2 linked regions of the Neodiprion lecontei genome follow. The protein of the gene in region 2 purifies or fractionates together with the protein of the main gene of each other region. This does not show direct contact. Links are inferred from orthologs where the notes say so. Each region holds a gene or a part of one and is shown on either strand. Other genes may lie near its edges.

Region 1 (2,916 bases), on a different chromosome or scaffold from region 2:
CCAAGGCGCAGCTTGCGATGTGATACTTTCTTTGAGGTCGCCATTTTATTCTACCCACAGATGCAATTGTATGGATTGTATATTCACATGTGGGTTTAGCTGATATGTCCCAAACCTGAAGTATACAAATTTTAATCTCTGTTCTTCTATATAAGTACTAAAAAAATCCCTGTAGTATATTCCCATAACCATCTATACCTTAATTGTTTTATCACGTGAGGCAGTAGCTAGCCACGAGGCTTCAGGGTGCCAATCACAAGCAAAAATTGGCCCACTGTGTGCTGTGAAATGCTGGAAGCATCGGTCGGGTTTCCTCAAGTCCCATTGCTGAACATGACCATTTTCCGAAACAGCTGCAAATGTGTATTGTTGATGCGGTGAAAACTGCACATCTCGCACAGATTCTGTGTTGCTATAAGAGTGAACAAATCAATGAATTTACAAGTAAATGAACAAGACACAGATTGACTCTTAACTTCACTGGAGTATAAACCTTTGCAAGAGCAATTTGGATAGTATTTCCATATGGCTCGCTATACCTGTAAAATGTTTTAGTAGCCTCCTTAATTCTGAGATCAAAACATTTCATAGTTCCGTCTTGAGAGCCTGATATTAACCACATAGGCTCAGTCATGTGAAAGCTCACTTTATTCACAGTTCTTTTATGATCAATAAACACGTGTTCCTGCTTTGACCGAGAAGGTCGATTCAGGTTCCATACCACCACAGCACCATTGGTGGCTGCGGTTGCCAATATGTGATCTAAAAAAGACATTTAATCATTCTTTTATAGCATGAATTATGAGGTGTATGCCAATCCAGGATTTTAATTAGAAAATAATACCGATAATTAAGGAAACAGAGGATTTTCCAAACCAAGTATTGCTGCATCACTAAAAATATTTCGTATATTATTTACCATCGATTAAATTCCAAGCAACATCATTGCATGAAAAATTCAGATTAAGATTCTTCCCAACTCTCAGATTGCAGACTTCTTCAAACTTGTCTTCAAGTAGGGCGAATATTTTGAAGACTAAGGGAGAAAATCGATAATAAATCTTTAATAAACCAGTAAATTGTATTGAAAATTAATAAAACAGCTTAGTCGTATGGAAGGATTTGAAAAAGGTTGTCCTACCATTGCGTCCAGCGATCACAACTTGAGTATTATCCTTATTTAGGGCTAAGGCATTTGCCGGTCCCTCCTGCGTAACGAATACCGTTTTTGATGTCATGTTAACAACAGTGAGCTCCAAATTTTATCAACAATTGTCTCGATTTCTTCACGCGGTATCCCCTAATTCAGGTTGGACTATACAACTATTATCAAACGTCAGGGTAATACCGCATTCTGTGAATTACACATTTTACAAACACGTGGTACGCCTGCTAGAAGTAAGATCACGAATTGTTTGATTGATTGTTTTCATACAATGAAATACGCACATCATTCGTCATTGTGACACACAGTATTTATGCGACAATATAAACGTTATAACCATATAGAAGTGATTTATGAATTCTTTCTCCCCGATCTTTATGATTTTACGACGAGCACATTCGCAGTAATTACAGTAGTGTCATTAAACTAAAAATGATTTTTGGCGAGTATAGTGTAATGCATCCTCATTGGTACAATTGACGGGTGGTAAAATGTTTATTTATTATTATTGTTCTTCAGAGAGTGTTTTTTAAAAAAATGGCCGTGTCATCAACGCCCCGTGATCGTAGCATCTATATATGTATTTCGAAGCCGTGATTACAGCATTTGTATAGTCGATCCTGGGTTTTCGTTCTTTGCGGTGTGCACTTTTCAGCGATTCTTGACATAACGTGGAGTTAGTAATTCGCAAGTAAAAACGAAAAAATGGCAAAAGCGCAAGACCAGGAGCTGAAAAAAGCGTTTTCCGAACTACAACAGAAGATAATTGATACGACACAGAAATTAAAGCTCGCAGACGTACAAATTGATTCGTTAAAACGAACAAAGCAGCATGCCGAGCTCACGGTTAAGGAGGTAACCTCACTTCCACCAAACACGAAAACCTACGAGAGTGTGGGTCGAATGTTCTTGCTAGACGACATCGCGAGCGTAAAAGAAGGGCTTGAGAAACGGATGAAAACGGCCGACGAGAAGATCAAAACTCTAGAAAACAATAAAGCGTTCTTGGAGCGTAGCTTAAAGGATAACGCAAATAACGTTAGAGAAATGGTCCAGCAACGACAAAGCAACGAATCCTCTGGTTGATACAGCAGTTTCACATCTTTACTTGCTTTTACTCTTCTGTCGAAGTTGTACCCTTATTCAAGCAATATCGCATCTATCAGTTGTAACTCTAATTTAACATCATTATTATTTGTGTGCTTTCGATAAATGTAATCCATAAAATAAACCTATCATGTTTACATATTACCTTCATTCGTTTTACCTTACGTAGTTACTGGTTATTTAATAATGTAGGGACGTTACTTATTTGTCCTGGTGACAGTTACTGTTGTGCATATCCTTTGTAAGAATGAGTAAGTCACCTCTATGGTGCAATAATTGCTTATCCTATTTAGCCAGACTTCATCTCTCAAATTATACAAATTTAAAATTTCCGAACTTTTTCCTAGTGACCACATGTGAGAATGATCATTAAAATGTTCTTATAATTAATAAGACATGGGGTATAATTGATTTCAGCAAATCATTTTACAATTATCATTAATTTATTCCAGCGACAGGAATGTTACATACAACAGACTGTCTTCCTTACGGCTAATTTTTTTTTTTGTTTTTTCCTTTTTAAATTTAATCCACTTAGTTATCTTAAACTGATTCCGTGAACCTCAACATTTTTTCTTCATTTAAACTACACTTAAAAATCTACATGTGCCAAAACTTGGCGCTTCAACTGATTTATTGTATTT
Region 2 (8,617 bases):
GGAGTACAATAGCGATTGTTTATGAGACATAGTTGCTATTTGCTTGACATTATTAGAATCGCGCTGCTGCGAATATTCTTAGTTGTTTGTGTTATAACTATCATAACAGATTTAGGGTATTTAACAATTTGATAATTCATAGTCTTAGAGCAGGTTTACATGTGTGCTTTCGTATATAATTCTCTTCTGTAATTATTAATTCTTATATTGATATAAATCGGCTTAGAAGCTTCCAGAACGTTTCTCTTATGTTTGTCGGTTGCCTGTTATTGGGCGTTGCCACGTATGCATCTTTGAGTTTATTGCGAGTTGATTTACCTTCAATCGTTTCGTCGGTAAGTTTCCTAATGTGTTCTCTAGATGAAGCTCTGTATGGCTCCACATTGGGGATCTGTATTGCCTTCAAAACGTTGCGCGTGTTGCCTACAACACGGCGTTACGGAGAAGAGTATAGTTCATGCTGAATAATTAGTATTCACGGTTTTGAAGGTTTTGCAGTCTCTAGTTTTATGGATTATTGCAGCAGTGCTATCTTTACATCATAATGGTTATACATTTATCTATGTTTTTACAGTCTTCTATACTCCAGGCTATATGGTATAGCGTAAGTTGCTTATAGTATAGCTCTCAGCTCCGAATGCACAAATGGCATTGTCGAGTGCTATATAATAATTGGATGTAATCGTGTTAGTTAATTATGGTGTTAATATGATAGTGATATATAATAACGTATAATAATATTATAGCTCTTTGTAGTGCGAAGATCTCGTAACTTGGTTTTTAAGCTTTGGTTAGTGAATGTCATAGTTATTTCCATCTAGGGATATTCCAAATAGTTAGACAGTTGTTTTAATTCCTTATGGTTACAAGATTCTCGTACTTCGAGTTTGGTTAGTTGATAAAAGTAACATGCAGTAATAACAGTCGATAAAACATACGGACGTTTCGGTCGGATGTTACAGAAGGACTATAAACAGAGAGAAACCTCTATAAATACGGGTGTAACTCACAGATAGTTGCCTGCCGGCAGGGTCATGCGTGCACGCATGTGACGGTCACATCACAAACTTGCGACAGAATACTACCTGGGTATAAAAAAATTACCGAACAAAATTGTAACCATAATTTCATAACACAAGATTAGAGGGTAGAAAATGTCGTCAATTTACGGTAAAATTACGATATTTTTTCATTAATTTCACTGAGAATTTTAATACTAGTCCGTGTTCGTAAATTGGCTGACAGTACTGAAAATTCCTTAGGACAGAGTCAGAGCTATCCACGAACTTGGAAGCGCAAAGGAGATAAAAGATTGCTGACAGTACCAGTGTTCCTAACCGTCACATAATTATAGTAGATGTCACATAAATATGAACTTCGTACTATATAACATAGAACTTTCATTATGTGACGGAAATCTACTATAATTTAGAAATTTGTATAAAAAGAAGTTTTTTTTTGTAATACAAAAATTGGCGGGACAAAATTCTTTAATACTTTTCGAAAAAAAAAGATTTTTAATACTTTTCAAAAGAAACGTATTCAAATCTTTTCGCGCTAGGCAAAAAATTGTCAGCGCCATTCACCATAATGTGGTTTTTAATTTTAACCACATTATTGCGGAGGGCGCTGACATGCACGGTTCGGGCTCAGGCGCGTTGGTGTTGATTTGAGCGCCCCGTTTCCCGCTTCCCGCCAGTTCCTGCCGTCATTCCTAGTGTGTACAAAAATAATTCAAATAAGTACCTTCTGGTCATTCGTACAATTAAATGTAAGTACGCACGCGTATTGTAATGGATAGGGATAATATACTTATGAAAATAATATTCCGTGATTTTATTGCATTATTAACATTTTCAAAAAAGTACTATAATTTTTTGTTCGGTACTATAATGCTACGGCCCTGGTCACATAGCCCCCCACGGACGGGTTGGGAACACTGGACAGTACTGTCAGTCAATTTTCGAACACGGCCCTAGTGAACACTATATTTCAGGTACATACTTTGATTTGTTGGCGTTCAACCGCGCTCTACGCCACTGCGCTTCTATATGAACCCACCCTAACTATCCTATTCTAGCGGTTCTCCATTTACGGAGCTTGGCAAGGATCAGCGTTCCTAACCTTTATGCAAGATTGTGGTCCACTTGGACATACTTTTGATAACTTTAAAAACTGATTCTTCCCGGCCAAAAAATATGGCAGGTGGTAAAAACTCTCAGGGAGGATTCCAACCGGTTAGTATTAGACTTAGAAATTCCAACATTAGCTCACTCAACGTAGTTCATCCTATTATAACCTGACTTAAATTTTTAATTGCTAGGATTCTGATGTCCACATTACTTACGAGGATCAGCAAAAGATTAACAAATTCGCCAGGCACAACGCAAAGCTAGAAGATTACAAAGATGAATTAAAATCGAAGCAGGTATTTATATTTGTATATGGTTTCTAAACCAACAATAATATACCTGATTTTTGAGTGTTGTTAAAACTACTCATCCAAATGAAGCTTTATGAAGCTTGGCATAGCCAAGTTTGGGATTGGCCAGGAAGCTTTGGTATAAAAAATTCTTACTTTTACCAACTCGACTAACGTTTTAATCCCAAAAGTGAAACCGTAAAAAATATAGGATATTGCCATTGAGTCTACATCATGATAGTTTCCAACGAATATCTATAGGTGTTTGTCTTCGGTGATGAATGTTATGCATTATTTGGTCATGGCAGCATTCGAAAAACTCATCTCTTAAATTTTCGACTTTCAGAATGACATAAAAAATCTTGAAGATGCCTGCGATGAACTCTCCCTCTTTGATGACGATGTGAAAATACCGTACCTCATTGGAGAAGTATTTGTAGATCAGGATTTTGAAAAAACCCAGGTTATCCAACTTTATTATCACTAGTTCTTACAATTTAATTGGCAAATATGGATATACAGGGTGTTGAAAAAAGGTGGATACACCTGGATAGCACGAAAACGACGTAACTTAGAGATAAACTGATGATAGATTTCCGAATCTCGGGCCCAAACACTAATATTACCATGGGATTCCCAGTTTATCTCTAAGTTACTTCGTTTTCAGGCTATCCAGGTGTATCCAGAATTCTTTAGTATCGAAATTGACCCTACGTCACTAGGAAGGGGCTTATGACCCCAGCGATGGTTAATACGTATTCGGACGTAAAATTTCCCGCTGAATCCAAATTCGAACGAAAAAATTGGGTTTTCCATTTGAAATTTCAAAGCTGGGCCTCATAAGGCCCCCCTGGGCCCATCTGGTCCAAAAACTAATATTACCATTGGATTCCCAGGGAAAAATTATTCGGGAATCTATTATCAGTTTATCTCTAAGTTACGTCGTTTTCGTGCTATCCAGGTGTATCCACCTTTTTTAAATACCCTGTATAAAAAACATCAAGTTCAACCCATGTTTGAATATACCTCAGTGAATCTGATTATGTTAAGACTTTCTATTACACATTTTCAAAGTTTTATGAAAATTCTATAAAATTTCCAAACTGGTCCAGAGATAATTTACGTTATTTTGCTGAGATCATTGAATGGCATTGCTCCGATACTTGATATTAACCGTTTCAAATTAATTGTGAATAATTGAAACTTGAATGATCCATCCTTGCTATTATTCTGTTTACAATATGATAATACTTGTTAACTCGTAAGTGCTGGAAATAATTATATATCGAAATAAAATTACAAAATTGCAAAACCCATCCGCTTGCAAAACCTTGGAATGAGAGGACTTGGGTTGAAAACTGCAGCAAGTCGAGGAGTACCTGAGCCTCCAAAAAATCTAAGAGTTGTCACATTGCTCAGACACAGAATTAAAATGCTGAAGTTTGAACCCACTCTAAGTACATTTATGCCAGGTTTTCTCCAGCTGTGCTCCTTTATCATGCACATATTGGTATTTACAATGAACCTTTCAAAGTAGTTGCAGACGTATAATGATGGTTACTGGCCATTCATCCCTTATCCAACATAACCTAACAATAGCTTCTGGGTATATACCCTGCTGGGTGTGGCAGGATAGGTAGTGATTGTTATTACTATTACTATTACTACTATTCTTATCATATTGTTATAATTACAATGTAACTATTTGAACTGCAAGATCAAAATTTCTAGTATTTTCTAATTATCAAGTTGTTTTCTATACCAAATAGAATGAAGGTAAGGTGGATTATAATCGTACCTTTGACTAGGTAATGAAAATTTGTAATATATAATTGTGTGAAGCTGCCTCTAGCAATTAGAGGTGAAGGTAAAATACTCTAACGTTGATTAAAATAAGGCAGTGAAATTCAAGAGTCAATGCTTTACGATTCTCAAAAATAGGTAGCTAGTAGATGTATAGAATCTTATGCCTGAAATTGGACTGCATTATTCTAAGTATAACAAATTTAGTGTTTGCGGTAACTAGTTTCAAATTCATCCTAATTTCATTTGTAATAGATGGAGAGCCAGTGACAAAAAAAATCACGTTTTTTGACCATACATATTTTCTATCCTAATATATTCTTCAAACATAGTTTATACGGAATTTTGAAGTCTGGTTACCTTGTGGTGTAGTCTTTGGCTTGGAAGTGGGCCTAAAACGGGTAAAAAAAAGAGATGCAAGAATGTGAAATGACCAAGGCTGAACTTGTTTTTTTCTAATAGCTAATGATGTTTTATTTACAAAATTAATAATGCTAGACACTTGGGTAAGGACCAAAGTACTGCCTGACTCAAACGGCAACTTGTTGTTGTTAAATGATTCGTTTATTTTCAACTTTCGAGTAGAAATGGCAGTAACTACACTTGTAGAAAATTCAATTTTCCACAACTTTGATTGCAAAAATTTTTCGTCTACAATCGATATTTTCTAACTTGAATCTGAAAAAAGGGAGTCAAATTGGATTTTGTTGTGACATCACGAATAGTGAATTCCACGAATTTACTTGTGAGTAGTAAAACAGGAGGGGGTGATGGGGGTGAAAACTGACACGTAAACAAGCCAAGATGACGAGTACAACAAATTGAGGAAATTGTTACTATAATAGTGGATCCAGAATTAGGCCCACTTTTTGCTGGTAAGCAGGCTGTTGTTCCATCTCCTTCCATCTTACTTCTTGCATTTGAACATCACCACGAATCCGCCATGTATCGACTAGTTTCAAAGAACCATCTTATTATTTGATGGGTCTTCATACTGCCAATATATGTTACATTTATTTATCACAACTAACACGTCTATATGTTTTGTTTGTGTCAGAAATCATTGGAGGAAGCAAAAGCAAAGAAGCAAGCAGAAATTGCAGAGCTGGAAAGTAAATCCTCAGAACTCAAGGTAGTAATGAGCGATTTGAAAGCACAACTCTACGCTAAGTTTGGCACACACATCAACTTGGAAGCGGAAGATGAATAGTTTATATAATGCAATTATAATTAAGGTCTAATTTTTAGTTATTCAAGCAGTTGAAGATATGGTTTCAATTATTTTCATACGTACTGCTTATTAATAACCCTCACCGTTATCATTGTTCTCAGTACTCATCAATTTTTACAATTTCAAAAATAAAAAAATTTCACTGCTGCATAAACAATTGTCACAGTGAAGGAAACTAGGTAATATCAAAATGTAGTTTTTCAGTAATTAGCTCTGTACTGAAATATATTAATTGAACACTATTTCTGGCATATAAACATATAAGTTAATTGTATTCATAAGGTAAAGATACGTAATCTTTATTAAATTCCATTTGTTTTAGAAGTATTAGTTTGGCTATTTATTTGATATTGATTATTCTTTAATAGAAGCTTGTATCTATACGAACAACACAATAAACATCTGCTTACACTATCAACTAGCAGTAAGTATAGCAAGGCCATAATAATAAAATCAAAGTCTTTCTCGAGTACACCAAGTAGTCACATGGTAGACGTACCATGGCAAGTCGGTGAAAGTATCCGTTACTCTAGTGTGTTAGATATGGATCACAAACTATTGCCAGAATTGAAATATTTGAACAAATTTACCTAAGAATCGCTGATTGACATGAACAGTTTTTCGTATGGTTGCTGAACTATAGATTCGATGTCAAGAATAAAATTTCAAATATAATAGCCTGTGAAAAAATTTTCTAATAAGCCCAGATATAACTAGATATGAAATGTCCATATCAGGCCTGATATGAAAATTAGGCAGATCTGAACATAGACGGACAGATCAAACTACATCAGTTTATATATAGCCTGTTATAAAAATTGGCCAGATCTGGTCTTACATGGATCGATTAGATTATATATGGTTATATCTAAGTATTTCTCATACTCATGGAACACAGACATACACCTTCCACAACAATATCACGGAATACAATACACTTAAAACTTCAATTTAGTACAATAAATTATACAGATCTGCGATACATTTATAACTAAAATGTAGAAATACCTGAGAAGTTTTTGGAAACTTCTATATATACTAAATTTGAAATATTTTATCATCTACGAGAAAGGCTGTCATGTTAAGATTGTGAATAACCCGTTAAAAAACAATTTTTCTGTATAACTGCGTTTAAAAAATGGATTTGATTTTTAAAAATCGAAATTATAGAGACTAGAAAAAAATTTCAATTGAATTTTTTGTATTCTTTATTAATTGGAACATGGAAAAACAGTTTCTTTTCAACAAGGATGACTATATGATCTGACATGGACATATTCTAATGGACATATATAATCTGATATTGTTATACATTTCTATATTAGAAAATATTTCACCAAAATATACAAAATCATATGCAGACATATCCGGCTGTATGTATTAAAACTTGATTTTTCATTGATATTCTCTGATATGGACATATATTGAAATATCAGCTCATATATGAATATGACCATATCAGAAGACTTGCTGCCGAGATAAAAAAAGCTATTGTAGCCATATGTAGCCGGATATAGCTGTAAATGCTTAGATTTCATTACCTGATATAGCCTTATGTAACCTGATACGACCATATATAGATTGATATGTCAATAAGGAAATCAAGTTTTAATACATGCAGCCTGATATGGTCAGATATGTTCGCATATGATTATGTATATTCCGGTAAAATATTTTCTGATATAACATTACATATAAATTTACATCACGTCATATTAAGCTATATCAGACTACATATGGGCTTATCAGAAAATTTTGTCATGGGAGTACAAATCGCCAAATGTTGAAGGGTGTCTACGAAACTCCTTACTCGAGGATTTTCAAAGTTGCAAGATTCCGTATCCTATATCAGAAATGGGAAATTCAAAGCGGCAAACTTTATACCTAATCGTAAGTAACACACATTCAACCCATATTATGATTATTGCCGACAGAAAATTAAGTCAACTAATTTGTACCCAATAAATAGCTTGAATTTGTATAAATAAATTAACTTTACGGCACCCCGAGGCACATTGCTAACAGCTACCCATACTCTGTAAATGGGGGCTTGCCATACCAACTCACAAATGTTTCACCCTTTTGCGGATTCCGACGATCCGACCTTACATGAGACTGCATCATGAGGCTTCGGTATTTATTTGGGAAATAACAGATCGAAGATTGGAAATATCATATCGATGTAAAACGGCGTTCGAACTTGCGATCGGAAGTAGCTGCTAATGACAATCGATACACAAGTTTAACTTGTGAAGAATATATTAATTTCAGAATAATATGGTCAAAGACGTCGAAACTAACGTTAAATCGGAAACGTTTTTCCAAACTGGTTATGCATTACAGTGACCAGTGTTATTTCTGTATGTGGAAAAAATTATCTTGAGATCGTGCCCATAAAAGAATGACAAATATCGGTTTTTAATTTTTTTAACAATGACGCACTTTCAGAAAAAATCATAGAAAATTACACAAAACCAGACATTCAAGCTGTCGAAAAGAGAAGGTGGTCACTAGCTAGAAACCACCGGAAATCAGCAATCTAAATGTTCAAGAATTTTTAGACGCTCGAGTTTGCTACTGAAAAACCTGAAAAAAATCCTTGACATGTGTACAGATGTCTGCTAGATTTGTAATTTTCTTCATAATTTTCGGAGTTAAAATGGCGGATTTAACGCAAAAAGACTGAAAATCGCGTTTTTTTACGATAACTTCGTACGAAATGGAGTTAGAAGGCTAAAATTTGGTATGGGTCAATCATTCTCCAATAGAAAACAGAAAGTCACTTGCAGAATCCATTCCGAGCGGGGGCATTTTTGGTACGCGGCTATACCCTCTAGGCCTCTAGACTAAAATACACCTTTTAAACTGTAGCATGTGTCAAGGGTTTGATTATATAGGTATTGACTTTATATTGTTTTTGTAGGTTTGTGTAATAGTCTTTTATTTTATTTCCAGTCCAATTTTATCAGTAAAATAGTGTTTCGTAGAATTTTCTACCTCTCCGCTACCTATGTTTTTAATTCTTTCTTAAACACCACCTTACTCTTCTTACTAATATCTATTAGTATAATATGGTTCCATAATTCAGCTGCTATTTATATTTCTTGTTGTATTTTGGCAGTCTGGATCAACTTGATTGTTACACCTTCATTGGTGGTTGA

What was found. Proteins that work in one complex are often made in the same cells at the same time.
Region 1: the proteins of probable prefoldin subunit 4 (region 2) and prefoldin subunit 1 purify together in Homo sapiens (affinity purification with mass spectrometry; 5 studies listed by BioGRID and IntAct, counting the BioPlex papers as one, with this or other methods). This does not show direct contact. The link is inferred for Neodiprion lecontei from reciprocal best matches to the Homo sapiens genes PFDN4 and PFDN1.

What each region holds. Positions count from the first base shown.
Region 1 is NC_060261.1:40,149,700-40,152,615, reverse strand, and holds prefoldin subunit 1, read left to right. Parts: upstream 1-1,853; 5' UTR 1,854-1,870; coding exon 1,871-2,251; 3' UTR 2,252-2,416; downstream 2,417-2,916. Other genes in the region: GATOR complex protein WDR24, read right to left, coding at 1-115, 199-412, 540-762, 920-1,036, 1,142-1,238. UniProt on the Homo sapiens protein: Binds specifically to cytosolic chaperonin (c-CPN) and transfers target proteins to it. Binds to nascent polypeptide chain and promotes folding in an environment in which there are many competing pathways for nonnative proteins.
Region 2 is NC_060260.1:21,084,440-21,093,056, reverse strand, and holds probable prefoldin subunit 4, read left to right. Parts: upstream 1-2,061; 5' UTR 2,062-2,198; coding exon 2,199-2,237; intron 2,238-2,323; coding exon 2,324-2,428; intron 2,429-2,768; coding exon 2,769-2,885; intron 2,886-5,282; coding exon 5,283-5,435; 3' UTR 5,436-7,445; downstream 7,446-8,617. UniProt on the Homo sapiens protein: Binds specifically to cytosolic chaperonin (c-CPN) and transfers target proteins to it. Binds to nascent polypeptide chain and promotes folding in an environment in which there are many competing pathways for nonnative proteins.